7 linked regions of the Macaca mulatta genome follow. The protein of the gene in region 1 purifies or fractionates together with the protein of each later gene. This does not show direct contact. Links are inferred from orthologs where the notes say so. Each region holds a gene or a part of one and is shown on either strand. Other genes may lie near its edges.

The links.
Region 2: the proteins of TNKS1BP1 (region 1) and CNOT2 purify together in Homo sapiens (affinity purification with mass spectrometry; 5 studies listed by BioGRID and IntAct, with this or other methods). This does not show direct contact. The link is inferred for Macaca mulatta from reciprocal best matches to the Homo sapiens genes TNKS1BP1 and CNOT2.
Region 3: the proteins of TNKS1BP1 (region 1) and FHL2 purify together in Homo sapiens (affinity purification with mass spectrometry; 3 studies listed by BioGRID and IntAct, with this or other methods). This does not show direct contact. The link is inferred for Macaca mulatta from reciprocal best matches to the Homo sapiens genes TNKS1BP1 and FHL2.
Region 4: the proteins of TNKS1BP1 (region 1) and CAPZA1 purify together in Homo sapiens (affinity purification with mass spectrometry; 3 studies listed by BioGRID and IntAct, with this or other methods). This does not show direct contact. The link is inferred for Macaca mulatta from reciprocal best matches to the Homo sapiens genes TNKS1BP1 and CAPZA1.
Region 5: the proteins of TNKS1BP1 (region 1) and CNOT10 purify together in Homo sapiens (affinity purification with mass spectrometry; 4 studies listed by BioGRID and IntAct, with this or other methods). This does not show direct contact. The link is inferred for Macaca mulatta from reciprocal best matches to the Homo sapiens genes TNKS1BP1 and CNOT10.
Region 6: the proteins of TNKS1BP1 (region 1) and CNOT7 purify together in Homo sapiens (affinity purification with mass spectrometry; 4 studies listed by BioGRID and IntAct, counting the BioPlex papers as one, with this or other methods). This does not show direct contact. The link is inferred for Macaca mulatta from reciprocal best matches to the Homo sapiens genes TNKS1BP1 and CNOT7.
Region 7: the proteins of TNKS1BP1 (region 1) and CNOT11 purify together in Homo sapiens (affinity purification with mass spectrometry; 5 studies listed by BioGRID and IntAct, counting the BioPlex papers as one, with this or other methods). This does not show direct contact. The link is inferred for Macaca mulatta from reciprocal best matches to the Homo sapiens genes TNKS1BP1 and CNOT11.

Annotation. Positions count from the first base shown.
Region 1 is NC_133419.1:16,085,576-16,089,206, reverse strand, and holds part of TNKS1BP1 (182 kDa tankyrase-1-binding protein), read right to left. Parts: intron 3,501-3,631; 5' UTR 3,436-3,500; coding exon 3,342-3,435; intron 2,257-3,341; coding exon 1,623-2,256; intron 1-1,622.
Region 2 is NC_133416.1:77,323,182-77,327,461, forward strand, and holds the start of CNOT2 (CCR4-NOT transcription complex subunit 2), read left to right. Parts: upstream 1-1,406; 5' UTR 1,407-1,478; coding exon of another isoform or gene 1,479-1,858; 5' UTR 1,859-1,889; intron 1,890-4,280. Other genes in the region: uncharacterized protein LOC144332960, read right to left, coding at 1,250-1,320, 1,479-1,617, 1,721-1,858. UniProt on the Homo sapiens protein: Component of the CCR4-NOT complex which is one of the major cellular mRNA deadenylases and is linked to various cellular processes including bulk mRNA degradation, miRNA-mediated repression, translational repression during translational initiation and general transcription regulation.
Region 3 is NC_133418.1:13,500,695-13,505,063, reverse strand, and holds the start of FHL2 (four and a half LIM domains protein 2), read left to right. Parts: upstream 1-1,500; 5' UTR 1,501-1,797; coding exon 1,798-2,052; intron 2,053-4,176; coding exon 4,177-4,227; intron 4,228-4,369. UniProt on the Homo sapiens protein: May function as a molecular transmitter linking various signaling pathways to transcriptional regulation. Negatively regulates the transcriptional repressor E4F1 and may function in cell growth.
Region 4 is NC_133406.1:127,634,867-127,639,112, reverse strand, and holds the start of CAPZA1 (F-actin-capping protein subunit alpha-1), read left to right. Parts: upstream 1-1,402; 5' UTR 1,403-1,612; coding exon of another isoform or gene 1,613-1,613; 5' UTR 1,614-1,797; coding exon 1,798-1,836; intron 1,837-1,862; exon of another isoform or gene 1,863-2,227; intron 2,228-4,246. Other genes in the region: ST7L (suppressor of tumorigenicity 7 protein-like), read right to left, coding at 868-1,072. UniProt on the Homo sapiens protein: F-actin-capping proteins bind in a Ca(2+)-independent manner to the fast growing ends of actin filaments (barbed end) thereby blocking the exchange of subunits at these ends.
Region 5 is NC_133407.1:15,750,210-15,753,155, forward strand, and holds the end of CNOT10 (CCR4-NOT transcription complex subunit 10), read right to left. Parts: intron 823-2,946; coding exon 668-822; 3' UTR 565-667; downstream 1-564. UniProt on the Homo sapiens protein: Component of the CCR4-NOT complex which is one of the major cellular mRNA deadenylases and is linked to various cellular processes including bulk mRNA degradation, miRNA-mediated repression, translational repression during translational initiation and general transcription regulation.
Region 6 is NC_133413.1:18,829,282-18,832,912, reverse strand, and holds part of CNOT7 (CCR4-NOT transcription complex subunit 7), read left to right. Parts: intron 1-2,987; coding exon 2,988-3,149; intron 3,150-3,631. UniProt on the Homo sapiens protein: Has 3'-5' poly(A) exoribonuclease activity for synthetic poly(A) RNA substrate. Its function seems to be partially redundant with that of CNOT8.
Region 7 is NC_133418.1:9,406,625-9,411,027, reverse strand, and holds the start of CNOT11 (CCR4-NOT transcription complex subunit 11), read right to left. Parts: upstream 2,816-4,403; 5' UTR 2,737-2,815; coding exon 2,223-2,736; intron 1-2,222. UniProt on the Homo sapiens protein: Component of the CCR4-NOT complex which is one of the major cellular mRNA deadenylases and is linked to various cellular processes including bulk mRNA degradation, miRNA-mediated repression, translational repression during translational initiation and general transcription regulation.

The sequences.
Region 1 (3,631 bases):
AAAAGCATCCTGGATGCCCAGACCTCTCAATGGTTCCTAAAAACATAACTCTTCTTTCCCTTAACCCATAAGGAGTTAAAGTTCTCCTCTAGCCAGGAAGAGTGCAGCTGGTCCCGCTGCCTTGCCAATACTTCTTGAAGAACTGCAGTGGGGGAGGGGAAGAGGAAAGAGTGATTTTCCAGGGCTGAAGTTGTTCTTAAGCCCTCCTTGGAGTGAGGGAGGCAAGGAAGATGGCGGGTGGAACCCAGCCTGGGCAAGAGTGTGACCTCACAGCACCCTGGTCTGGGACAGGCAAAGGACTGGCTCTGGGGCCAAGGCTCCAGACACTTGAAGGTAGAGAAGGGCAAGGCCAGAGGGCAGGGCAGGGCACGGACTCTCAGTTTCCCGCTCGGCCCAGACCACACCAGCCTTTGCTTCTCATAGCAGTAGGAAGAGAAAGGGAGCCTCTGAGCCCAGCAGAGCGGTCAAAGGCCCAAGGAGCCAGCCATGCCTCAAGCTGGCTCTCCCAGCACTGAGGACAGCCTCTGTGCAGCTGATGGCTCCTGAGATGCCTCAGCCTCTTCCTCCAATGTCCCGTGCCCACAACCCCAAGAAGCACCTCCTGGCCAGCCTTGCTTTCCACTAGTGGCAACTCTGGAGAAGCGTTATCATATGCAAATGTCTCCAACCAGCCAAAATCTCTATGCAGACACTAGCTGGCCTGGAATCAAGATGTGTTCTTGTCTTATCTCTCCCATCAGATTCCGCCTCACAGGGAGAGACTGTGCCCTGCTCCTCCTGACACACGCAGCCCACCCCAGGACAGGCACACTGCTCTGCCCACTGTAAGAGCTAACAGTTAAGAGCAGAGGCTTTGGAATCAAACAAGATGTCCGTCTCTGCCTCTTAACTTGCCGAGACTATGGAAGTCATTTTTGAGCCTCAGTTTCCTCATCTCTACAATGGATCTAATACTCCCTTGAACAAACAGGATGCCAATGAGGCCAGCTCTCAGTATATGGAAACTAAAAATAAACTTCTTGGCCGGGCGTGGTGGCTCACGCCTGTAATCCCAGCACTTTGGGAGGCCGAGGCAGGCGGATCACCTGAGGTCAGGAGTTCAAGACCAGCCTGGCCGACAGGATAAAACCCCATCTCTCCTAAACATACAAAAAAACTATTAGCTTGGTGTGGTGGCACACGCCTGTAATCCCAGCTACTTGGGAGGCTGAGGAAGGAGAATCACTTGAACCTGGGAGGCAGAGGTTGCAGTGAGCCGAGATTGCACCACTGTATTCCTGCCTGGGCGACAAGAGCAAAACACCATCTCAAAAAAAAAAAAAAAAAAAAAATCTATTGTCTATTAAATTTCTGTACTATACACTTGAACTCTCTAACATAAACCTACATCAATTCTGTAACGAAAACTACAACTTTAAAAGCATACAGTAATGATAACACCATCTGCTGGGGAATGACTTGTGACTTAGATCGGGATCTGCCTGTATTCACGGCACACGACCAATCTACGGGTAAAAGTCACAACCCTATACGGGGCCATGCACTTGGTCCCCAGCCCCCACCCAATCCCACCCCATCTGACCTCCAGGCTGCCACAAAACATACAACCTCCCACCCTTCACCTCTCCTCAGGGGTCCTGCTGTGCTCTTCCTGGCACTCGGCTGCAGGCTTTACTGGCTCCTCCTGGGACCGTCCCTTGGAGAGGGTGCTGCCATCCTCATCCCTGGGAGCAGTGGTCGTGCCATAGGTCCTGGGGCCATACCGCGAGCTGCCATCGTGGTTAAAGGTGAGGCGGGAACCCCACAGGCGGTCAGGGCTGGCAGGGACCTCCTTCCGAGGCTGCTCCATCTTGGCCAGGATCTCTTCCACCGTGGTGGCCGCGAAGCGCTCTGAGGCTGGGCGGAAAGGGGCAGGGGCCTTCCGTACGCCCCCTGGGGCGGCACATCGAGCTGGGGGTGTCAACGGGGGTGGCTCCTCTTTCCCAGCCTCCTCTTTCCCAGTCTCTTGGATGGCTTCTCCTCCAGTGGAGGCCTCAACCACAGGCCTTGGTGCAAAGGGAAGCGGGCGCTTGCTGCCACCATAGGGTTGGGGTCCTGCCAGCATGTTCATCTTCCTGGCAGAAGGCAACTCAGCCAGGGGACCCCGGGGAGGCCGAGGCCCAACAGGCACCAGCAGGCTGGGTTTGGCAGGCAGGGCTGGCTTGGCAGGCAGGGCCCGGGGTTTGGGCTTGACAGGGGGTTTGGCCCGAGTGTCACCTACCAAAAGGAAAGGGTTGGCAGGGGAGCTGTCAGAAGAACCAGGAAGCAGAACTCCTTTGTTCCTGTTCCACCTCATCTCCCACCCTCCAATTTAAGAATATTCACATCTTTCTAGACACAAGTCATATGCCACCTCTTCCGTGAAGCCTTCCTTGATTTTCTACACACATCCCAGAAGCATCTTCTTCCTTCTTCAAACTCCCAAAATGTTTTAGCCAATTCCCCTTTTAAGCTGAAGCTATGTAAGGACCCACCTGGCACCTTATTTCTTCCTGTACTGTATTTTGCAGCTAACATAAGTTTAATTATAAGTTATAATCAAACAAAAGAATGAATGAACAAAAGAGACAACAGACAAACGCCTGCCTGCCCCTATCAAGCAGTCAGTCCCCATATTCCCAATCTAGTTTGTTCACCTTATGTGACACTCTTCTCTATCAACCATAGTAAACTCTCAATCTCAGCCGAGCTTCTCTATCCTGCCTCCAGGCTGCCTCCTCCCCCAGTCATAGCACACTCCCAGGCCACCTCCCCACTGTCATCTGGTGTGTGACTGGGAATGCAAACTTACTATTGACCGAAGTCAAACAAAAGTAAATCTGCTACAGGGAGAAAAAAAAACAGGACCAGAAACCTACCTTCTATATAAAGCTAAATGACCTTGGAAGTAACCTCATCCACTACCCTCCTGATGGAATCCTTTACCTCCTACACATTTGGCTAAATATAAGAAAAGAGTCTATGCAAGGAGCCAGGAGGTCTGGGTTCAAACTCCCACTTGTACACTCCATTTGTCCCTGTGGGCCTCAGTTTCCCCCTCTGCAAAGCATGCAGCTTGATCTGTATCATCTCAAAGGTCCCTGTCTACTCTTACACCTGTTAGAAAGTTATGATCCCAAACAGTTCTGAAGAGTCTCAAGAGAAGCTGAGAACCTTTCACACTCATCCTGCACTGCCTTGGTACTCCTTCTCTATCTCAACAGAATCATCACTCAACCACCCCCCAAGACAGAAAGAGGGGGCAGCCTCTGCCCTTCCCACCCCCTCCCAGCCACCCAGCTCCACCCTGCACCCATTGGTACCTGGCTCAGAGCCAGCAGGCACCAGCTCCTCCTCCATCTCCCGGGGCAGTGGGGAAGCCATGGCTGAGCTTTCCCTGAGAGTAGACACTTTCATTACATGCGGCAGACCCTCCTTGAGAGTTGGGAGGCAGAGAGGTATGAGCCGGGGTGGCTGCAGACCTAGGAAAAGAGAGAGAAGAGAAGGAAAAAAAGAGTTGGGCGTTGCCAGTAGGTTTAGCAGAGAGAAGTCTCCTATTTCTAGCAGAGGCAGAGTGTGGGACAGGAAGAGAGAACTTGGGGCAGGGGGTGGG
Region 2 (4,280 bases), on another chromosome or scaffold:
CCCTCTAAGGTAGGTATTAAAACAATTTTAACAAATTTATAATAGATTTGGCACAAATAATAGGACAATTAAAGGCTTGTTCTTCAACATGGCTTAAAGTGAATTCATCCTAAACAAATAGTGTTCAGTGAGTCAAAGTAAGTAGTATCAAATATTGAAAGTAATAGTATCAATGTATTTTCTCCTAACACTCCTAACCCACACGTTTATTATAAAAATGTTTGTTGTTCTATCTCTTCCAGTAAAATACTCAAGGTAATAAAACTCTCAAATCAGACTTACACCCTCTGGAAGTCATTCTAAAGAGGTATAACCAATCTTTTAACACACCATCTTATGGTTGAAGATGTTAACATGAGAGGAGGAGAAAGCAGAAAGAGGAAGGGACTATTTGGAGAAGACGGGGAGAAAAGAAGGAAAGACACCAATGTGTTGTTCCTCCTCGAATTTTCCTGAAGTGGAAAAAAAAAAAAAAATGAAGTAGAATGTTTGATGAAATGAATAACCAAGTAAAACATTTTCTGTCTACACCAGTACCACTAGGAGTTGAAATAAATTCACACAATGTCTGCTATGTCAAAACACCTTACCTTCAAAAACATGACAGTTACCTTTTATTTTATAGTATGTTGTGTTTCTTGCTATTTCTTATTTTTGACCTTCAATGACAAATTTAAATTGGATTACAGTGATTCTTTTGTAAGGAAAAGGTAAATTTTTAAAAGAAACAACCAAGTGAAGTAGAAATTTTATTTACTTCAAATTAACTAATTACTCAAATAGAAAAGGACAATTTTTCACATTATGAAGCTACACAATTCCAAAACACACATGCAGAGGCTCTTAAGAACGAAATGTCTAGTAATTACAAAAAAAGTGAAGAGTTTACAGACATACAAAGAAATAAAGGGGAATTATTGCAAAGAAAAGTTTAATTTCACTTTGAACGACAACGATTTTTCTGGAAAGCAGATACTTCACTCCTTTAAGTTTCCACCCAAGCCACAATAATTTCAAATGGTCTTGCGGATGACCCAGCTGGTCACTCTTGTTTATGTGGAGACTGGGGGGAATGAGAGTCAGAAAAAGTGCTATAAACCTAATTTGGCTAGAGCAAGTTCACACGACACGACCGTGCTTTAAAAACTTGCTCTCCATTATGTACTTCCTTCCACCAGGTTGGGGGGGGGAAAAAAAAAGGTGAGGATGGTGAGTAAATACACCAGTGGTTTCATCAGAGGGGAACTCACTACTCAGAAGGTGACGGTGACGTGGTGCCGGTCCCTGAAGTACGCGCACAAGCTCCGGAGGTTGCGGGAGCTAAGGGAGGAAACGGGGACACGGTTAAATTCGCCCAGGTGGCGGGAGTGAGGAGGGGAGGAGTGAGGAGGCGGACGTGCGGGGGCGGGGTGTCCAACACAAACACAAACACGAACACGCTCAGCATCCCCGGGGAGGGCGGACTGAAGCCACCTCACCATTCATCGCCCCTGGACCCTGCGGTCCCCCTCGGACTTGGGGCCAGAGCCCTCTGCGAAGCAACCTGGCCCCAGGAAAACGGCAGCGGCCGCAGAAGCCCCGCTCTCTGTAACGGCCGCGGAGGAGCAGCAAGCCTCCCTGTGAGTCGATGGGAGACAAGACGGAGCAGCGGTAAGGGCGGTAGGGGAGTGAAGCGCCTCTCCCCACCTTGTTAGAAGCGCGCTGGAAGCGGCCTACCCACCCCATCGCTGCTGCTTTGCAGTCGCCGCTCCCACCTTCCGCCGCCACCCGGAGGGAAGCCGGAGCGACGGGGGTCACGGCGGCGGTCAGAGGGTAAAGGTCTTGCTCCCAGCAGCCTCCGCGGTGGATACGTCGCCATCTTGGATCCGCGGGACAAGAAAATTCATGCGGTGAGTTTTTGGCAAATTTTCGGAAGTCTGGCAGCGGGGCGCGCGGCGGGGGCGGCGGATTCGGGGCCCCCGCAAGGCGGGGGAATGCCCCGGGGCCGGTCCGGCCGCGCCCGGGGTCCGCCGGTAGCGTCCCGGCCCGCCGCTTCCCGTTGCTTTTGTCTCGGCTCCAATCGAGAGAGGGAGAGCGGAGCGGGCGGGGAGGGGGGGTGGCGGCGGTGGAGGGAGGGAGGGGGTGTGTATGGGGGTGGTGGTGGACGGGACGTAAAGCGTCGCTGTACTCGGGCCGCTGCAGCAGCAGCTCCAGATCCTAGGCCCGGTCCCATCCGCGAGTGGCGGGGCTTCCCCAGACTCCACTCCCCTAGGCTCCCGCCAGCGCGGAGGAGCCGCTACCGCCGCGCTGCTTCCTGGGGGAGAAGAGAAGGCGGCTGCGGCCGTGGCTGAGGAGCTCGAGCCCGCTTTAGACGGCTCTGCCGCCTTCCCAGCAGCTGGTGCTGTCTCTGGCTCCTTACATTCTCAATACACGTATATCATCTGCCAGTTATGTGTATTTCTGTTAGTGTGTGTGTAAGTGTCAGATGGGAGACACTGGACTGGCTAACGGGTGTCAGGAGCCTGCAGGCCCTGGGATACCGAAGGCTGTGCATGGTGGAGGGAGAAGGAATGCAACTGCGATGCTGCCTCTGCCACCGCACCAGGAAGGTGAAGCTTCCGTAGTGTCGTAGACTGAGTCCGGATGGTCCTGGGGCGGCGGAGGAACCACAGATGCTTCTGTCTGTGAAGTTACAAGCCCTGGTTTTCTACTTCCGCAGGGGCCTCTCCACCTTTTGCTGTTGTAGGTCTCACTTAAAAGTTTCACAGAAGAAAAGAGTAGGGTTAAAAGAGGCCTTTGTAGTTCTTAATTGAGGCACTGTTGTCTGTCCGGGAGAAAGCTGATGACTCTTGGTGACTGTGGTCCTTAGCAAAAGTGAATTGTAGTTTTCTTTTATACAAAGTATTTCCAAGGTTTTAGACTTTATATTTATTCCAGGCCTGTAGGTACGGTATTACCACCACTAAAGTCTTACATAAGGGTACCACCCTCTCAGAAGGAACCTAAACAACTTCCTTCGAATCCTTGGAGACATCTTCACTTTTCAACATCCGGAAGACTGAGTGCAACATATTTTGTTTCATTTTCATAAAACTCTTGGTCAGAGAATCCCACTCCTTTTAAAATCGTTTGGGCAGTTCTTCGTAATTAAGTACACTGATTTGAACCCTTAGATTCTTGGCGAAATGGTAAAAAGTACTCAAAGTCAGTTCACGAGGGAAGCCAACTTAAATTTAAGGTTCCAAAGTTGAACATACTTCATGCTTGATATTAGGAATTTTTAGAGCTCGGAATCATAAGTGTGACTCTTGATTTCCCTTTTGAAGCAAGATAAGTGGAAAGAATAAAGTATGGGGTGAGGGATGAGATAGAAATTTTAAAGTATCCATTTACATACAAGGTTTATGTTGAGTTTGGGAATGCTTGGCATAATTGACAACAGTTCTTTCCAAACGTCAATGAATATGTCTCTTATAATTTTGTAAGATTGCGAATTGAAAGGGTTAAGAATCATAGTGGGCTGAAATGGTTAAGTGTCTATATTCAGAGCCCAGTTCATTGAAATGTTTTATAATGGACCAAGATAATTAGTAAGCTCTGTATGTTGAATTTGTTTAGTTTGTAGTTCTTTTATAATGTTAAATCTAAAGAAAAAGAAATACAAAATACACTTAAAGACAAAACATGTTCCACTCTACTCACTTATTTCTTGACTTTGTAAGATCCTTATTGTAGAAAAGGTATCTTTCTCTCATATTTTCTGAGAGCTTGAATTGTAATAACTTTTGTGAATACTTTGTATTTTAGAGAGGAAGTGAGAAACTCTGCTAAAGTTTTTTTTTTTTGTATCTGAATTAGTACTTCATCAATACAAATAAGTTAATGTAAACATTTGTTGGCAGGAATCTTTTTTTAAGTATACAATGTAGAGATATCTGTAACCTAATCTGATCTCAGGGAATGAGAATTGCCTGTTTGTTTAACCAAGCAACACATACAGCCTATACAATTTTTCAGTTTCTATAATACTTTAATTTATATGGTGGAAAAGGAGGGCAAAATGCTTGTGTGTGAGTGATTTATATCCCCAAGTACCTGATCTTGAAGATAAAACTCAGAATGTGGCTTATCTTCTGATGCTGGGCAAAAAACAAAAACAAAAAAATTCAGAATGATACAACTTCCCATATACCTCCCTACAAGGACTAATTACCTTTGTTTTTCCTTTATAACTTTGGGTGTTGCACTTTTTGATTTTTCAGAGATGCTTTACAGTTATTATAACCTGAAAATTATTTGTT
Region 3 (4,369 bases), on another chromosome or scaffold:
AGGGTCATTTAAAATGTTCTGCTACCCATTAGGTCAAAAATGAAACACAAAATTAAATCGCAGAATTTCTTAATAATAAAACAACATCGCTGAAACTATGTGGCACAGCTAAAGCAGTTATTAGAAGAAAAATAACAGAACTAAATAACTCTATCAGTAAAAAAAGCAAAGTTAAATGGATTACACCCATAAGTCAGAAAGCTTAAAAAAATCAAAATGTAAGACAAGAGGAAATCAGAAAGAAGATAAATGCAGAATTAATGTTTCATCATTTTAGGACTTGTTTTTACAAACTGCAGCTTAAGGCTCACCATTTGAGAACTAGGAGACCATTTCCTAATATGTAACAATAGCGACAACACAGCTAGGTAGCTGTCAGGGGCTGGGAGCCTTTTCTACACAAACTTTGCTCTGAATTTCAAAATACTAGCCTGCCTTGACACTTAGTGGAAATTCAGGGAGGGTGGCCTTAACTCAGGTTCTTCAGGGAAGTGTCCCGTTTCAGGGACACCGTGGGGTGGGGTTAGGGGACGGCTGTATTCCGCACATCTAGTTCTGGCTGGGCTTATGGCAAGTCTCAGTCCTCTGGAGTCACCTGAGTGACTGAGGGATGAGAGGCATTTCTGATCCCGTAATATACTTACATGGTTTTGCCATCTACCGGACTCCAGTTCAAATCTCAGCTGGCACAGTTACCTTTCACGTGGCCTTGAGCAAATCTCTCTGAGCTGAACTTTCCTCACCATAAATCTGGTAAAAATCTTTACCTTAAGGAAGTGTGGATCAAATGAGATACCAGGTGGAGCTAGTGCTCATAGAGTGGAAGCTAAGGTGATGAAACCCTTGATTCTCAAGTTCTGTGATTCCATGATGGAGATCCATGAGGGCTACCAGATGGGGAGTATCAACTAAAAGAAAGCAATCACGGAGTTCTTCCTGCCTTCTCTGGAGGATGTATTCCTATGAGCTGCCCTGAATGTTAAAAATAATACACCTGCCCCCAAAGTGCCTAGGACGCCTTTGTTGTCCACCTGCTCATCGTCCATCGGTTTCTGCAAGTGGACCAGTTACCTGCTCAGGAGCAAACGTTTCTATCACGATGCACCCTCTCCCAGGGATGGGCTCAGCCTGTGCTCTCCCTGCGACAATGTTGAACAGTGCCATCTGTCCCTACCCAGCGTCAGTCTCACTCAGAGGGCACAGGCTTGGAGTGTGGGAGGCACGCTCCCAGCTCACTTTGCTTTTCCCGCCCTGGAGGGGAATCCAGGATGTCTAACTAGTCTTCTGGCCCCGAGAGGGAGAGGTAGGGATAGGACCTTCCTTTAGTCCCCTCCCTAGTGGAACGAACGATTCTTTACGGTCATCTGTGGGGTTCTTTTCGTAAAGAAGCATCTGCAGGGTAAGAAGGAAAAAAATCCACCGTGCAAATACATCCCAGGCACATGCCTCCTGAGAAGTGGCCCCCTCCTCCCTCCGCCGTCCCCGGCACCTCCTCGGGCTTCGCCAGCTTCCTGCTCCTGGGAGCAGGCAGAGATCCCGGCGTGGGCAGACCCCTGCCACTGGCGTCCAGGCCCCGTCCGAAACTCACGCCCACGTCGGAGGAGACTCTCGGGATAACCAAGGTGCTCCCAAGACCCGGAGGGCAAGAAGAAAGAGCCCTGGCAAACAAAGGGCATGGGCCGGGAGCGCCGCAGCCCGGGGCGGGGGCACGGCGACCGCTAGGCCAGGGGGCGCCCGCCCCCAGCGCCCCACGCCCGGTGCCAGCGAGCCGAGGCGTGCATCTCCTTATATGGTCAAATGACACGGAGGGGGTTCTCGAGGGCGGGAGCCGCGCAGCGCTCCACTCGGCCGGCAGCGGAGCAGCAGCCACCAGCCGCCCGCGCCCGCCCGCGCCGTCCGGGAGTCCCCGGGCCGCTGCGGCGCCGTGAGTACCTCCAGCTCCCTGCGCCCCGGAGGGAGGCCGAGGGGCTTAGCCACCAGGACTCGGAAGAGGGGGCCGAATCCGGTGCGAGACCCGGGGAGAGGGGAGCAGATCCGGAGTTGGGGAGACCGGTGAGTGGAGAGGAGAGCTGTGGGTCGGAGAAGAACCCTGGGAGAGGGGAGCCGAACCGTGCGGAGAGAAGCCGGGAGAAAGGAAATGAGCTGTAGGGTAGACCCGGGAGAGGGGAGCAGATCCCTGGGGGCTGGGAGTGGGGAGACCACGGGAAGAGGGGAGCGGAGCAATGAGAGGGGGCTAGACCCTGGGGGCGCTGGAGCTCAGAGGAGCCCACGGACCCATCCCCAGAGGGGGGATTACAGCCCAAGTCCTCACCAGGTGGGGCACCGCCATGCGGGCAGGGGCTTGGCTAGCCTGGGTAAAGGCTGGCCGCGGGTCCCAGCCGGCGGCTGCGGGGAGGTGACGCTGTCCCCTTGCTTCAAGGCCCGACTCCGGAGCCGGTTGTCCTGGCACGGTGGTCTGCGCGGGGGTGTCCGGGCTATTTCCCTTCAGTAGAAATAAGTGGAGCTTGCAGTGTGACCTCACTCCTTGACTCGTGTAGACATTTAATAACTGAACCATTCGGTTAAAAAAAAAAGGCGTATTTTAAATGAAAAAGATTCTAAGTTTTTCTTAAGTTGCACTCGTGTGATATCTTAGCATACTAGAAATTGAGGGAAGAAAATACTGTTTTTCAGATTTTAAATGAATCAATCATATTTACTTTCATATCCCCAGTCAGGTTTTAATTGGAAGTAGGCTAACCCCGTTAGCTGAAATGTGTAGCTGGCCTCCAAGCAGCAGTGAACTTAGACAGCACTGAACTTAAGGCCCGCACTCCCTTCCACATATTTTGGAAGGTAATAAATCACAATTTGGGCTTAGAATCAGGAGAACTGTCTTCAAAACACAACTCCAAATACATCTCACATTTTTGGTGCTGACTCTACTAACGAATGTTTTATAATAATATATTAAAGAAAAGAGGTTTTGCACTATCCTGAAGATGTTTTAGACCAAAAAAAAAAAAAAAAAAATTTGCAGCAAGTCTTAGAAGTACAGGAATTCCTAGTCTATCAATTTAATTTTAATAAAATCAAACTCAAAGAACATTTCATTGTGCATTTATATAAAATTTTTTCAAGTGTTACTGGATTTAGATCACCCTCCAATTTAGAAGATCATCAATTGATACATAGAATTGTGTTTTCATGGTGTTTATTAGCCTGCCATGGTTTAAAATGCGTTTACACCATCATATGTCGATGAAGGCTAATGATGGGCTTACTAAAGACCAGAAACTGTTCTGGGCACATAGATTCTGTCTCATTTTAGCTCACGGTCTCACAAATAACCACAGGCAGATGCGGTAGGCTAGAGGATGCGGGGGACTGCATCTAGGCTGCCTGAATTTACATCCGGGTCCCTCAACCTGTGCAGCCTGGGCCAAATCACTTCATGTCGTGGTGTCTCGGTTTCCTTCACTGGGAAACAGTGACAATGATGTTGTCTCTTTGGCAGGGTTGTTAAAAAGTCTGGACATCATAGACAGTGTGTACCTATTTGACAGCCTCATTTTTACAGGTAAAGACACTGAAAACAGAGATCAAAGTAACTTTAACTCAGGGTTTCCCAGGCTGTAAATGGTAGCCCTGAGATCTGACCCCAGGCAGCTTAACTTGAGAACCTGAGTTCTAACCCTAAACACACCACGGGAGGAACATTTGAATATTTATTTATTTTTTAACATTTGAATATTTCTATGAGGCCTTATGCTGCATTCTTTGACCCAAGATTGCGTGTTAAGCCACTTCCAGTACTGAAAGATATTTAAATTGCAGTCAAAAACACCCAGTAGAATATTGCACACACACACACACAAATCAGACTAGATATCAGTTTACTCCCGTCCTGTGCTGAGGGCCAGTTATTCAGCCTCTGTGACTCAGGCAGCTTCCTTTGTCAGCACCGGGGCCTGAGTTGGTAAAGTTGGTAAGCGGCTCTCTGACTCAGATGCCCCGAGGTAAAAAGTTCCTTGAGCCTGGGTGAATGGAAATGTCAGACGTTGGGTTCTTCTGTGCGGTTTTATTATGAGAATTTGATCAAAGCCACATTTATTAAGTGTCCATCTCAGGTTGCGTCATACTGAAGTCGCTTCCTCAAGATGACCATCTGAAACAAAATGCATGTGCTTTCTCTAGGGGCTGAGAACTGTGTCTTCCTGGAGACTAGGCTGGCATTTTGACTTTGGGGTGAGTCAAATGAATTTCCTCTGTCATCCTAAATTGTGGATTTCAGTTTTAGCTCCCGTGATGATTACTTTCATGTGTCAACTTGACTGGGCCATGTGGTGCCCAAACATTCGGTCATATGTTCTGGGTGTGTCTGCGAGGG
Region 4 (4,246 bases), on another chromosome or scaffold:
TTCGCTACCTTCTGCTACAGAAAAATCAACCACTGTACTGAATCATATAACAGAAATACTTCTATCTTGTTCTGAGGTTGCTGCTCAGAGCTTGAGTGAAATATAATCACATGCTAAGGGGATCTGGGCCCTAAACACTTTATCCCGTCTACAACTAAAGAATAGTACAGTATATGAGAATCCATCAGGATCATCACTTCTTACATGTGTTAGTATTTTCAGCACAGACTACATAGCAAGTGTTCTACAGATGTCGAAAGAACTAGCAAACCGACAGTTGTTTGTGGCGCTCTCTCACTTCCTGTACTACATTACTCAAGATAAGCCTAAAAGAACAGACAAAAATATCACGACAACTATTTCTTAACAGAACTATTTTAAAACAAGAGAATCGTCAATTAAAATCATGCCATTTTCTTTCTCTGAAATCTTTAAATTACAGATGTGCTCATCTTTGTTGCCTGGATATGAGTTCTCTCAGCTGGGCGGCGAGACACTCAAAGCAGTGACTTTATGGGATCCTACCAGAGGCGGGGGAGCCAATATAAATTACGTATCCTAATCTGAGAATGCACCCTTCTGTCCTAATACCTGAAGCTTATAGCTTGTCAGGTGGCTTTTCCACGGAAAAACGAGGACATAAGAGAAAGGACGGACCTTAAGAGTTCTAGGGAGGAGCCGGTAGAGGCAGCAGGCTTGACAATCAACTGCAAGGTTGCAGTCCAAAAGAAAAAGAACCCACTTGATCGCTCATCATCGACTCCTCAGAGGCCCTCTAGGACTACCGAGAATCTCTTGCCCTTTGGCTCTTGCCCCCGACATCTCTCCTGGCCCCCCGCCCTGCCCCAGGAGGTCTGGTCCTCTCACCCGCTGCCAAATTCTCACACAGCCTCAAAGGGATCCTCAGAGCGTAAAGCAGCCCCAGCCCCGCCACTAACCACACCGAGACCCCAGTCCCCGCCAGCCCGGCTCGCAGTCGCTCCCTCCAGCCCAACGTCGGGTTTAGGCCGGGGACAGGTGCAGGAGACGCTCTAGCAGCCGCGGCTTCACCCGAGCCGCCACCGTCCGCCATCTTGCCGCTATCGCAGGAGCCAGGAGCTGGGAGGGGAGAAGGACAGGAAACCGGGAGTCGGGAATCCTGGGATAGTGGCGGACCTGAAGTTGGCCTCTCTGAAGGCTGAGTCCTGGGGAACCGGGACCGAGAAGATTTCGAAGGTGGAGGAGCGTGTCTCAAGATTGAGGATACCTATTCCTTTGTGGGGCAGGGAAGGGGCGGACAGCAGCGCCTGTTCTGGAGGAACTGGACTAAGATGTGACCCCAAAGTGAAGTATTACCGCTTCCAAACGAAATGAGGGTCACCTTTCACACCCCCGCCCCCCGGGGTTGGAAAAGCCACCGATCGTTCCAGCGGCCGAGCAGCTCTTAGAGCTTTGGATTCGGCTGTCGTGGAGATAACGGGTACCAGAAAAACTGCAAGAGCGACTTGGTCGGATGGAGGCCAGGAGCCAAGAATAATCGAAACACGCTGCCAGCACCCATTAGATGGATGGGAAATGAGTGTAACTCATTGGGAAAGATATTAGACTTTAAATCACCGAAGGCAAAGCCTACTTCCTGGGGCGCGGGCGCGGGCGCTGGCACTAGTAGACGTCACTCCCGCGCATAACTGACATGGCGCCCTCTTGGTCGGCGTTTCCGGGCGGGTCCTTCCGACGGCCCCCGCGGTGATTCCATCACTCGGCTTTCTTCCCGGCCTGCCTAGCGCCCACACCCGGGCTGGGCCAGAACAGCCCAAGATGGCCGACTTCGATGATCGTGTGTCGGATGAGGAGAAGGTAAGGGGTCCGCCTCTCTCTCTTACCTCCTCCCCCGACAGGGAACTGGGGCTCGGCCCGGCTGCGTTGGGAGCCTCGCAGTGTCCCCAGGAAAAAGAAGCTTCTTTGTCAATGCTGACATACGCTCTCCGCAGTCGGGACGCTTCCCTCTTACGGGGCTTTCCTCTGCCTCACGGTGGCCCCAGTTCCTCGTTCCTCGACTCTCCTTTTCTCTCAGGCCTGAGGCACAGCCCAGGGGCCTCCCTGCGAGGGAACAGACGTTTCCTTTATTAGATCGTGACTGTGGACTTTTTTCCTGTAATTTTGAGAGTGGGTGGTGGTTATGTTGCTACATATCAAAAAGCAGTTATTTTACCGCCTTTAGCAGTTGGTGCTAACCCCCATCCCCCCATTTGTAGATATAATTGGGGTTAGTTTAGGGCGAGTCACTTCCTGGTCAGGATGGCCTCTTCCTTTTTGCTCCTCCTTCCTCAGGAAGTGATTTTGCTGTCACGACTCCTCGACAAGGAGAGGTCCCAAATGTTGTCCACCTCACTACACATGCAGTACTTTTCTCAAGTACTGTCGCCTGTCTGATTCGCTATAATAAATCTGTGAGCCTCAGGGCATGTGCTTCACAATTTGAGCACTAGACTTTCCCTGTAGACACACCCTTTTAACGATAATTTTTGAAAATTTTGTTTCTTGTTAACAAATGTAGAATAGCTGATGGATTTTCTTAACCTCAAGAAAGATTTTCTGTAACAGATAATAAACTGCATGTTAACACGTTCAAGACTTGACAAAGCGTCCTGCCTTCTCTGGTGCTCCACTGTGGAGTCTTTGATTAGCTGAATTTGTCAGTGTGCAGTTTGTATACTTATTTCTTGAAAAGCGTTTTAAATACAAGAGCACATTCTAAGGTGGAATAACTTTTCTTCTGACATTTGCACAGTTTCATAACAGTTTTGTCAGGCTTTTCAGTAAGTACATGATTTTAGGGCACGTGGAACTTAGAATGACCTCACGAGACAACTTACTTACAAGAATTATGACATTTGTCTCCTGCTGTGGCTATTGGAAAATGTGTCCCCTTGAGTGCTCTGTAAATCTACCAGGGTGTTTTTTTAAATAAGAAGTTGGGATGGGGAGGGGACTGTTATGATCCATAAGTCCTCTGCACCGAATAACTTGATACATCATACCTACATATGGCATGCCATTTTGAAATGCTTAACAAGCCATTGAACAACAGCATTAGATTTTCTCTTATTTGGAAACTGATCTTCATACATAAGATTTAGGACAAAAACAAAGACATATATGAGCTTATGCTGGAAATCAATCTATAATAAATTGTTCTAAGGCAAATAGTTACTATTCAAATAAAATTAAGCAAAAATCCTGTTATAATACAAATCCTGTTACAACTAAACAAATTTTTTTTTTTTTTTTTTTGAAACGGAGTCTCGCTGGGCTCACTGCAACTTCCGCCTCCCGAGTTCAAATGATTCTCCTGCCTCAGCTTCCCAAGTAGCTGGGATTACAGGCACCCGCCAACACGTCAAGCTAATTTTTGTATTTCTTGTAGAGACTGAATTTCGTCTTGTTGCCCAGGCAGGTCTCAAACTCTTGGGCTCAAGTCCATCCGCCTCCGCCACTTAAGTGCTGGGTTTACAGGCGTAAGCCACCGCGCCCGGTCAAAATTCCACAAATAATTTAAATAATAAACTTTTAAGTTTATTGTGCCTACGTGATACACATTGACCAGTGTTGTTGGATTTTTGTCTTCGATACCAGGTTAGAATGCCTTTAATTAAACTTGGGAAAGTATATTTTTTAAAATGCCAATTAAGATGTCTTTAAATACTGGCAGTGTTTTAATAACATTAACGTGTTGGGTTTTTTTTGTTTTGTTTTGTTTTGAGTTGGAGTTTCGCTCTGTCACCCCGGGTGATGTGCAGTGGTGCGATCGCTGCAACCTCTGCCTCTCTGGTTCCAGCGATTCTCCTGCCTCAGCCTCTCGAGTAGCTAGGATTACAGGCGCCTGTCACCACGCCTGGCTAATTTTTTTGTATTGTTAGTAGAGACAGGGTTTCACTATGTTGGCCAGGCTGGTCTCCAACTCCTGACCTCGTGATCTGCCCGCCTTGGCTTCCCAAAGTGCTGGGATAACAGGCGTGAGCCACTGCGCCCGGCCAGTCTTGGTTTTTTTAATAGCAGATCTGTGACCAGTTTCGTCTTCTAGCATAGTTTTTTTGTTGCCAAATATATTTCAATATTGCTTTTTATCTTGGTTACATTTTCTAAAGGCAGTAAACCTTTAGAAAATTTGGTGATAATGAATGGACTCTAATTTCCTTATAAATATGTATGTAAAAGCTAGTAAAATCATCTATTCTCATAACTGCTGAAGTTTTTTTAATCACTT
Region 5 (2,946 bases), on another chromosome or scaffold:
TACTGTTGATATTCTTCTTTGTCAATTTTTAAACATTAACACAAAACCTCAGATGCTAAAATAATCTAAGAGTCAAGAAAAGACTTCTGATAAAATTATGTTTTAATTGCCTATGGCATATATTACATAATGTCTCAAAATTAATAGTCTGGCTGAAATTAAGAAAAACAGCAGGCCGGGCGCGGTGGCTCAAGCCTGTAATCCCAGCACTTTGGGAGGCCGAGACGGGTGGATCACAAGGTCAGGAGATCGAGACCATCCTGGCGAACACGGTGAAACCCCGTCTCTACTAAAAAGTACAAAAAAACTAGCTGGGCGAGGTGGCGGGCGCCTGTAGTCCCAGCTACGCGGGAGGCTGAGGCAGGAGAATGGCGTAAACCCGGGAGGCGGAGCTTGCAGTGAGCTGAGATCCAGCCACTGCACACCAGCCTGGGCAACAGAGTGAGACTCCGTCTCAAAACAAAACAAAAAAAAAACAAAAGAAAACCAGCTGATGATGACCTAGTAAATCCTTAATTTTAAGTAAGCTTTTGGCAAAAAGTCAGGGGTAGAACCGTCTCAAAATTAACAGCCTTCACCATCTTTTATTCATTCTGCTGTGATACAAGTAAAATGGCCAGTAAATACTCCCCTGGGTCTCAGGTAACAGTTTTCCAAAAGCGAAGTATCACTTTCTCTGCACAGTGGTGAAAGCCGGCATTTGGATGGGCTGGATCGGGTGGACAGGCTGAAACACTGGCTTCTTTCTCACTTCAGAGTGTGTTTTCACTGCAGGGAGCAGCTGATTCCTTTTGATGATCTGTAAGGCCAGCTGAGTATTACCTATAAAAACACTTCCCGTTAAAAAAGCAAGCAACAATACTACCACACACAAAGCAAGCCATGAGAATCCTGCTAGGGAGGTAAAAGATGATCTAGAAGAGCCGTCATCTGCAGCCTTGGCTGTACACTGGAATCCCATAAAGCCTCCATCCTATCCCCAGAAATTCCAATTTAAGTGATGTAGGGCATGGCCCGGGCAATGGAACTTTTTTTTTTTTTTTTTTTGAGACGGAGTCTCCCTCTGTCCCCAGGCTGGAGTGTAGGGGCACCATCTAGGTTCACTGCAGCCTCCGCCTCCCGGGTTCACGCCATTCTCCTGCCTCAGCCTCCCGAGTAGCTGGGACTACAGGCGCCCGCCACCACGCCCAGCTAATTTTTTGTATTTTTAGTAGAAACGGGGTTTCACCATGTTAGCCAGGATGGTCTCGATCTCCTGATCTCGTGATCTGCCCGCCTTGAACTCCCAAAGTGCTGGGATTACAGGCGTGAGCCACCGCGCCCGGCCAGGCAATGGAATTTTTAAAAGTTTCCCAGTGATTCTAAGGTACAGCCCAGATAGAGAACTTGTTATAGGTGGGCTGTATAAAAGAAACAATCAGCTCGGAGGGTTGGTTCACGTCTGTAACCCTAGCACTTTGGGAGGCCGAGGTGGGCAGATCGTCTGGGCTCAGGAGTTTGAGACCAGGTTGGGTAACATGGTGAAACCCTGTCTCTAGAAAAAATACAAAAATTAGCTGGGCGTGGTGGTGTATGTCTGTAGTCCCAGCTATGTGGGGGGCTGAGGCAGGAGGGCTGCTTGAACCTGGGAGGTCAAGGCTGCAGTGAGCTGAGATCACGCCACTACATTCCAGCCTGGGTGACAAACTGAGACCCTATCTCAAAACAAAAAACAATGAAACAGTCTAGGGCAATGCACTAACCCTAATCACATCTTTAAGGAGGCTAAGTCTGGCTGGGTGCCAGGCACTTAAGACCCCTTCTTCAGCTATTAAAAAAAAAGGGGAGCCTTGTAAGAGTTCCCATGGTCAACAAGGAGTTATGCCTTTGAACACTGGGTTTTCTTTGAGACAGAGTCTTGTTCTGCGGCCCAGGCTGGAGTGCAGTGGGGTGATTATGGCTCACTGCAACCTCCATCTCCGAGGTTCAAGCGATTCTCCTGCCTCAGCTTCCAGAGTAGCTGGGATTACAGGCATGAGCTACTGTGCCCAGCCTTTTTTTATTTTTTATTTTTTAAAAAAGAGACAGGGTCTCACTATGTTGCCCAGGCTGGAGTGCAGTGACTGTTCACAGGAGCAATACTGCACACTATAGCCTTGAACTCTTGGCCTTAAGCAATCCTCCTGCCTCAGCCTCCAGAGTAGCTAGGACTCCACGCCTGGCTGTGACTTCATTTCTGTCCCTTTTTTGTTTTTTGAGACAGAGTCTCGCTCTGTCGTCCAGGCTGGAGTGTGGTGGCACGATCTCCCTCCGCCTCCAGGATTCAAGCAATTCTCCTGCCTTAGCCTCCTGAGTAGCTGGAACTACAACTGCGTGCCAACACGCCCAGCTAATTTTGTGTATTTTTAGTAGAGACAGAGAAAATAACATTTATTTTCACCATGTTAGCCAGGATGGTCTCGATCTCCTGACCTCGTGATCCGCCCGCCTCGGCCTCCCAAGTGTTGGGATTACAGGCGTGAGTGAGCCACTGCACCCGGCCTAGTTCTGTCCCTTCTAATCTCTCTCATTCATGTCTCTTTTCTACTTCATGCTATCTCATATCTAGAGCCGACAGCCTTTCTTCTAGTGAGATACATCTTGCAGATCGTATATGCCCTAGAGGCATGACCTGAATTTATGTTTGAATAAATAATTCTCAGCAAGAACTGGCTTACTGTAAAACTTGTTAATATATGTGTTCAAAATACTATGGTGTACAACTCAAAGCAACTACAGTCTAACTCATGTTCTCAATTAGTCATTTAGCTGCCTATGAGAAAGGTTAATAGGGATTAATTATAATTAAGTGTCAGAAGTTATGATTCTGTATTTTCTCAGATAAAAGGTGATAAGCTTAACTTGTAAGGAGTATTTGTAGGATACCAAAAACTCCCCAACTATATCTATCAGTCAATCTATCTATCT
Region 6 (3,631 bases), on another chromosome or scaffold:
CACAGCCGCGCTGGGCACCCACTGGCTGCAGGTTGGACAGGCTTGATTTACGCTGATGTTAGGAGATGTTTACGGAGAAGGATACAGTGAAAAACATTAGGTAGAAGAAGTCATTTGGAAGATAAACCAGTAGTGCCTAATATAGAGAGAGCACCATGAAGAGATTCTTGGAAATTTTGAAGAAAGAGAAAATTGGCTTCTTAATGGGGTGGCTAGAATGCGTGTCAGTTACAGTGCTAAGACACTAGGGATTTAGTACTGAGGAAAGTTGGTCATGGCCTTTATAACTCAGTGTTTTGTAACTCTTCTGTTTTCTCTCTATTGCCAAAGTCTAAGAATTAGAATTATTAATACTGATCAGTGTATGGGAATTCTCTCCAAACTGAATTTGGAGTTGATATATCTATGAAAATTGAAGTGGAATACTGATGAGCTGTGAAGAAGAAAAGCAACCCATGGAAATAATGTCACTGATGAGTCAAAGAGGGTTAAAAATAAATTTTTAAAAAATCACTTTGAGGCTGGGCACGGTGGCTCACGCCTGTAATCTCAGCACTTTGGGAGGCCGAGGCGGGCGGATCACGAGGTCAGGAGATTGAGACCATCCTGGCTAACACGGTGAAACCCTGTCTCTACTAAAAATACAAAAAAAAATTAGCTGGGCGTGGTGGTGGGCGCCTGAAGTCCCAGCTACTTGGGAGACTGAGGCAGGAGAATGGCATGAACCCGGGAGGCGGAGCTTACAGTGAGCCGAGATCATGCCATTGACTCCAGCCTGGGCGATAGAGTGAGACTCCGTCTCTAAATAAATAAAAAGTAATCACTTTTGGTGATTGCAGTATTTCTTGATATTTGAGAGAATTATTTAATAGGATAGTAGAAATTACAGGGCATCTTGGGTTCAGTGGTAACAGAAAGGATGCTGATGCTTCATTTAAGGAAAGTGGCAGTGTAAAGAAGGAGATGGAGAGTGCCATAAGAAGGGAGGCTGGATGCAGTAGCCCATTCCTGTAATCCCAGCACTTTGGGAGGCCAGTTGGAAGCCAAGGCGGACAGGTCACTTGAGCTCAGAAGTTCAAAACCAGCTTGGGCAACATGGCAAACCCTTGTCTCTACAAAAATAGAAAAATTAGCCAGGCATGGTGACGCATATCTGTAATCCCAGCTACTTGGGAGGCTGCAGAAGGAGGATTGCTTGAGTCTGGGAGGTCAAGGCTGCAGTGAGCCGTGTTCAAGCCACTGCTTCCAGGATGATGGCCAGACCCTGTCTCAAGAATGGAAAGCAGAATCAACAGAATAGTGGTTTTTATTTTGTTTTACAGATAATACACAGACACAGTTGAGTGTTCACGAGTTAAGGAGTTGTATGTTAGGATAAAGATAGGCACTTTAGAAGTCCTTTGAGGAATGGCATGGAATAGCATCTAAGGCATTGGTAGCAGTTAGCTTCGGCGATGAGGCAAGCTGTCTTTGGAGTCTAAAGGAGAACAATCTTCACATAGGTAGATGTAAAGAAAGACAGGAATATTGGTCTGATATTTCTTTGTAAAGCAAGTGTGGGGTGAAGCCATATGCTGCAAGGAAACCGGTGAAGGGTGTTACTAGAAACTTGGAGAAAAAGGGCTAAACCACTTGCATACCTATACCTTGGCAAGTGGCCAAGAATAATGTGAGCCTGGAGAAGAATCTGTTTTTTATTGGTTGCTTATAGTTGCTAAGGCATGCCTCAGTGTGAGCATTGGGACCTGATGAGTGAGATTCTAATTTTTTGAGGTACATATTTTTAGCATAGGAAAGCTATGGTGTCACTAGAAAAAAACCAAAAACCAAAAAACTACTTCATTGGGTTTATTCTGTTACTCTTCCTAAAGGATATTCCAGGGGAGACTGACTTTTAAGTGATGTGGTTTCCTTCTGTTTTAAAGTATTTCCATTGTTAGCTTTGTAATTTTTCAGACCTAGAAATAAGTTGATTTCCAAAGGACTAACCATAAGGATACTTTTTGGCCCAAGTGAAATATACCCTATGGTTTAGTTTTGTCAAAAGTGTTTAATAGGAATTCCTTTTGCCAAGAGGTAGAATCCGGTATTCTTACAATTTGAAAAGTAAGTAAAAAAATACTTTTTCCCATATTCTCAAAAATATATCTGTATTTTGGTAGCTTTTTTGTTTTAATATTTCAGATACAGATATACTGTATTTTGGGAACTTTTGATTTAATATTTCAGATACACATATATTTGAGGTTGGAAATATATTTGTGGTTGGAGATGGCTTTCTTTTTGGCTTAAGTGAAGTCTTGAAGAATTGGTTTATATTTAGATTGCCTGGCTTGATTTTATAAGGCAGTCATTTAGGAATTGGATTGTTGGCAGAAGAAATTATTGCTGTTACAGCACAGTCCTTAACTTTAAACAGTGTTACTTATTGGAGCCATTTGCAAGGCTCATCATTTGTGAAAGGAGGCATCTCCTTCTTTAAGATGAAGTGTAGTTTAACTCGTCCACATGAGACGTTTTCTACCGGGTCTCCTTCCTGGTGCTGCTGAGAGCATGGGAGATGGGCATGTGCCCCGCAGCTATGGCTGCAGCTCCATGTGGCAGCCTTACAGTGGCTGCTGAGACTGAGAGTCTCTGAGAAAACTTGTCTGTTACTTTGTGATGGTAGCCCCTGGTGAGTAGAAGACCCTTTTCCAAACCCAGTTAAATGTATTTAAGTATGAAAGGCTAATAGAGTTAATAGTAAAGATTAAAATTGCACCTTTGGACTCTTTGAATGATTTTTTATTATTTGAAACACTTTTCTGAAATAATGACCCTTGTATTTAAATTGCATTTTTCTTGCATATATGTAAAGCATTGGAACAGCTGGACTCAAGCCAGTCCTCTGTCTCTTTTCCGGCACTGTAGTTATAGATGTAAGCAGAAGAACAGCTTGTTTGAAGTAATGGCATGTTTGAATGTTGTCTTTCTCTTTCTTCTGCCAGGGAGGATATGTATGCCCAGGACTCTATAGAGCTACTAACAACATCTGGTATCCAGTTTAAAAAACATGAGGAGGAAGGAATTGAGACCCAGTACTTTGCAGAACTTCTTATGACTTCTGGAGTGGTCCTCTGTGAAGGGGTCAAATGGTTGTCATTTCATAGGTAAAACGACTACATTGAAAATGCCTTTTGTTTTTCCATCTCATACTTGCTCCACACTTACCTGGGGCACTGTGTTAGTAATTTCAGGTTTAATTCTAGAAAGAGTTGACTGCCATATAGAGTTGTCTCCTGACTCTGAGGAGGCTAGTGTTGGTCTACTTAAAGGTTAATTTAAACTATGGGATCCATTTTTGCCTGTGAGAAGCATGTTGCATAGTGGAAACAGTACGGGTTCTCTACAAAGTGAAAGACCCCGGTTTAAATCCAGCAGTGCCTTTGGAATTGGTGTTACCCAGAGTTTTCTTTTACTGTTTCTACACCTTAGTTTTTAATGTTCTACAGGGGAAACCATTTATTTACATTTACAAAAATTTATTGAGTATTTACCATATGGCAGGCACTGAGATGAGATTCTAGGAATTAAGCTGTGAATAAAACAGACAACAATTATTTTCCTCATGGAGTTTATATTCTCATGGGGG
Region 7 (4,403 bases), on another chromosome or scaffold:
GATTTTTGTATTTTTGGTAGAGATGGGGTTTCATCATGTTGGCCAGGCTGGTTTTGAACTCCTGGCCTCAAGTGATCTGCCTGCCTCGGCCTCCCGAAGTGCTAGGATTGCAGGCATGAGCCACCGCACACGGCTTTACACCCAGTTCTTTAGTAATACCTGGCAGAGTCACTCCTGCCCTCGCACCTGCATCCCTAATCAATATCCAGCAAAAGTATCACTCCTTCCGAGAATCTCTCTGGCTCCATGGGTGGTCCTTCCTTCCTCTGTACTACCCAGCATTACACAATCGCAGTCCTGCCTCAGTTCAGAGTCATCTGAAAAGCATTCTGAAGACATACCCACTAAATGTCTTACCCTAAACAGAAAACAGCAGCAGCTCTGGGAGTGGGGTGTTGGCACTGATATTTTTCTATGTTACCTACACACCATCCCTACCTACTTTAATAATGGTAATAATAGTGGGTAACACTCACAGGTACTTTTATTCTTTGTAACAACTCTACCAGCTGGCAATTGTTACTATTTGCATTTTACAGATGAGGAATCTGAGGCACAAAACGGTTAAATATAATCCATCCATGGATTCTTTCTCTGGCAACTGCCATCCCACCCATGGCAAATCTGTGTGTACAATGCAGTCTACGGACTAGGTGTGGGTTTAGATTCACTGTATATGAGAATGACATTAATAAGTCACAGTTCCCTTGCCTCACTTGTTCTTCAGAATTCAAAGGGCCCTCTGACCTAAATCCCATAGTGTCCCAATCCTCTAATACCAGCACCCCAGGGTGGTGGTTGTCTCTTTGTGTGTGTGTGTGTGTGTGTTTAGAAGCAGGGTCTCGCTGTCACCCTAACTCACTGCAGCCTCAAACTCCTAGGCTGAAGTGATCCTTCTGCCTCAAACTCCTGAGCAGCTGGGACTACAGGTGTGAGCCACCCATGCCCAACAATTTTTATTTTTTATTTTTTGTAGACAGGGTCTTACTATGTTGCCCAGCATGGTTTCAAACTCCTGGCCTCAAGCAATTCCCAACCCCCAACCTCCACCACTTCGGCCTCCAGAAGCGCTGATATTATAGGCGTGAGCCACCTCGCCAGGCCTAGGTGGTGGGTTTTGACCACAAACCTGTGTTACATTCACTTTCTGGGCAGTCACAAGCTTCTTAAAAGCAGGTTAAGTACCTGTACCCTAACGGCATCTCAGCCAATACAAAAGGTTGCCCTTCTTAGATAAGGGCACTACAGGACACCAATCAGAGATCCTGACGGGGTGCCAGGCAGGAACGCTAACTAGAAATGCGGCCCTCCTGTACCATAAAAACAAACTCCTGGTGTCACCTCAAAATCTGCTGCCTTAGCCTTGACTCACTGTATAGCAGGCCCTACCTGTGCTGGTTAAGGAATGTAAGATCAAGCTGTTACCTATCTCTAGCTATGTGCTTCCTCCACTACACTGGTCCCTAAATCCTTCAGGTCCCTTGTCACCACGCCATTTTTGTTTTCTGACTGCAAGTCTTCTCCCAAAGCAAATCCACATAAAGCATCCCCTGTTTGAGCTTAAAAACAAAAAAATGTAGCCTCGCATCCAACCTACTAGTTTGATCTCACCAATGCCACACAATGGTAAATATATTTTACATAATTTATACCATGAATGCACTTTACATAATGTCCAGTAAGTCATGCGTTTCCAATCGCGAGATCATCAATTTGAGACTTTCTATCCTCTGCCCCCATCCCTAACAGGCTAAGGCAGGCGGCTGCAAAGTCTTTAATGGTGTTTCACGTGTATTTCCGCCCACAACTTCTTCAGCTTCTTAGTACTGACTTCTACGTACTCCTTTGAGACTAAAAACCGGGGACAGATCTAGTCTTATCGTTGGTTTTAACTTCACACACCACAGACGGGCTTTCGAAGAACGAACCGTATTTGAGACACTAAACATGTCAAGACCTACACTGAGCTCTATGATGTGATGGGGTGTATAGAGAAATTATTTTCGGTGTCACGAACTTGCAATTAAGCTACCACCTCTCCATTCTTTAGAGTTAAGGCGGGGAGGGAGTGAGGGGCGTGGGAACGCAAAGGGAGGCGGAAAAAGAGGATTATCAGTTCACACGGATAGTTAATTTCCCTTTCAGGTGAGCTCCCAGCAGCGCGGGTGGAAAGCTGCGGAATCTAACGCATTCCACACGGCACAGCTGGCTTCAGCAGGTACCTGAGAGCGGAGGGCGGTCGGGCTCCTGACCGCCGCGGGCGGGCGGCGCGGGGTTGAGCAGGTGCGCGAAGCTGGCGGCGAAGGGGTTTGCGGCCAGCGGCTCGGTGCGGTACATCTCCCAGAGCAGGTAGAGCGCCGTGAGACGCTGCGCCGCGCTGGGCAGCAGGTCCGGCTGCTGGAGCAGCATGACGAGCACCGAACCCAGGCGGAAGTGGTCGGCCTTGCTGAAGTAGTGATGGAAGGCGGTGGACAGGCCCTCGAAGGTGCTGCCGCCGCCCGCCTCCTCCGATATGATGCTGAGCAGGCTCGAGAGTTCCTTCGGGGTCAAGCTCATCCTGCCTGCGGGGCCCCCAGGGCCTCCGCTCCCGGACCCGGGGCCGCTTGCTCCGCCTCTGCCGCCGCCGGAGCCCCCGAAGCCGCTCCTGGACGCCGACCCTGCCGCTTCCCGGGACACTCTTTGCTCCGCGGCGGTGAGAAGCCGGCAAGACGCCGCGCTCGCCCCTCCGCCGGGCATCAACCTCGCTCCCCTTCCCCTCTTCCCGGCCCGAGGGGCCCTGGCGCCGGCTCGCTCCGTCCCCGCGGCCGTAAAGCGCGCTGTTACACGACAGCGTCGCAAACAAAACACGTCGGGGAAACCAGACCGCCGCGGAAAGGGACAGCGCCCAGCGAAAGCGAGGCTGATGGAGCGAAGCCAGGAAGAGGATGCGGAGACGCGGGGTAGGCGGGGCGAATTGGCAGGAAGCGGGGGCGGGGCCCGGGAAGGGAGGCGCGGTGAGAGGTCGGGCTGGCGGCCTTCAGGGCTAGGTCGGCTGAGGTTCCCCGGCAGGAGCGCCCGGGGCCCGCGTGCGTCGGCGCAACTGCAAGCGAAAGCCGCACCTTGGCGGTCCCTAGGACAGTGCCTGGTGCCAGACGGTCCCAGTAAATGCTATCTACGTTATTACTTGCAAAAACGCACCTCGGATGTTAACTATTTTCTTAACATAACATCCATAAGTATTCGTCGTAAAAATATTGTAAAGGCCGGCGGGGCGCGGTGGCGCGTGCCTGTAGTCCCAGCGCTTTGAGTGTCCTAGGCGAGAGGGTCGCTGGAGCCTGGGAGTCCCAGGCTGCAGTGAGCTGTCATCACCACTGCACTCCAGTCTGGGCGCTCTGTCTCAAACATTTTTTTTAATATAGTAAATGAAAAAGATGCCACGCATTTCTCGTAACCACGGTTAATTTCTAGTCTTACACTCTTTTATTGCAGAAATGGAATCGTACTGCGCTATGAGCTTTTTTGTACATGGTTTTTTCCCTCTTAACACGATTTCAAGAACATGTCTCCAGTTAATATTCATGTACAAAATTGTTTGCTGTGCCACGTTTTCCTTAGACTGCCCTAGGGTGCTTATCCTGGGCACTTAGCGGTGCATTAGAAACCCACGGGGAGGCGTTGCAAATACCTGGTCCCACCCCCAGAGATGAGTCAGGTATTAATAAACCCCGCCTCTTCAGGTGAGGCTGAGGTGTAGTCTGGGCTGAGAACCACCAGGTGGCATTTCCCAGACTTGCCCGTCCCTAAACCTACAGAAACGTGCATGTATTTCACCAGTGATTACCACCAGCGATTCTTAATTATCTAGTTAAGCGCCATCTCAATTCTTTTTTAAAACGTATTTTTATTTTATGTGTTTTTGGGGAGAAATTTTATTTTTTTTTTCATCTTTTTAAAACTTGTATTTCAGTAGTTTTGGGGGTACAGGTGGTTTTTGGTTACATGGATAAGTTTTGAGTAGTGATTTCCGAGATTTTCGTGCACCCGTCACCAGAGCAGTGTACACTGTACCTGTCAGGCCTTTGAGCCCAACCCTTCACATATACATCCAGATGGCCTGAAGTAACTGAAGAATCACAAAAGAAGTGAAAATGGCCGGTTCCTGCCTTAACTGATGACATTACCTTGTGAAATCCCTTCTCCTGGCTCAGAAGCTCCCCCACTGAGCACCTTATGGCCCCCACCCCTGCTGGCCAGAGAACAACCCGCTTTGACTGTAATTTTCCACTACTTTTATTGCTCACACAGCTTGTTTGGTGGTCTCTTCACGGACGCGCGTGACAATATCCAAAATGTAGTTTTTTATCCCTCACACCCGTCCCACGTATCCCCCCTCCTGCCCCTGCGGACTCCTCAAAGTCCATTAT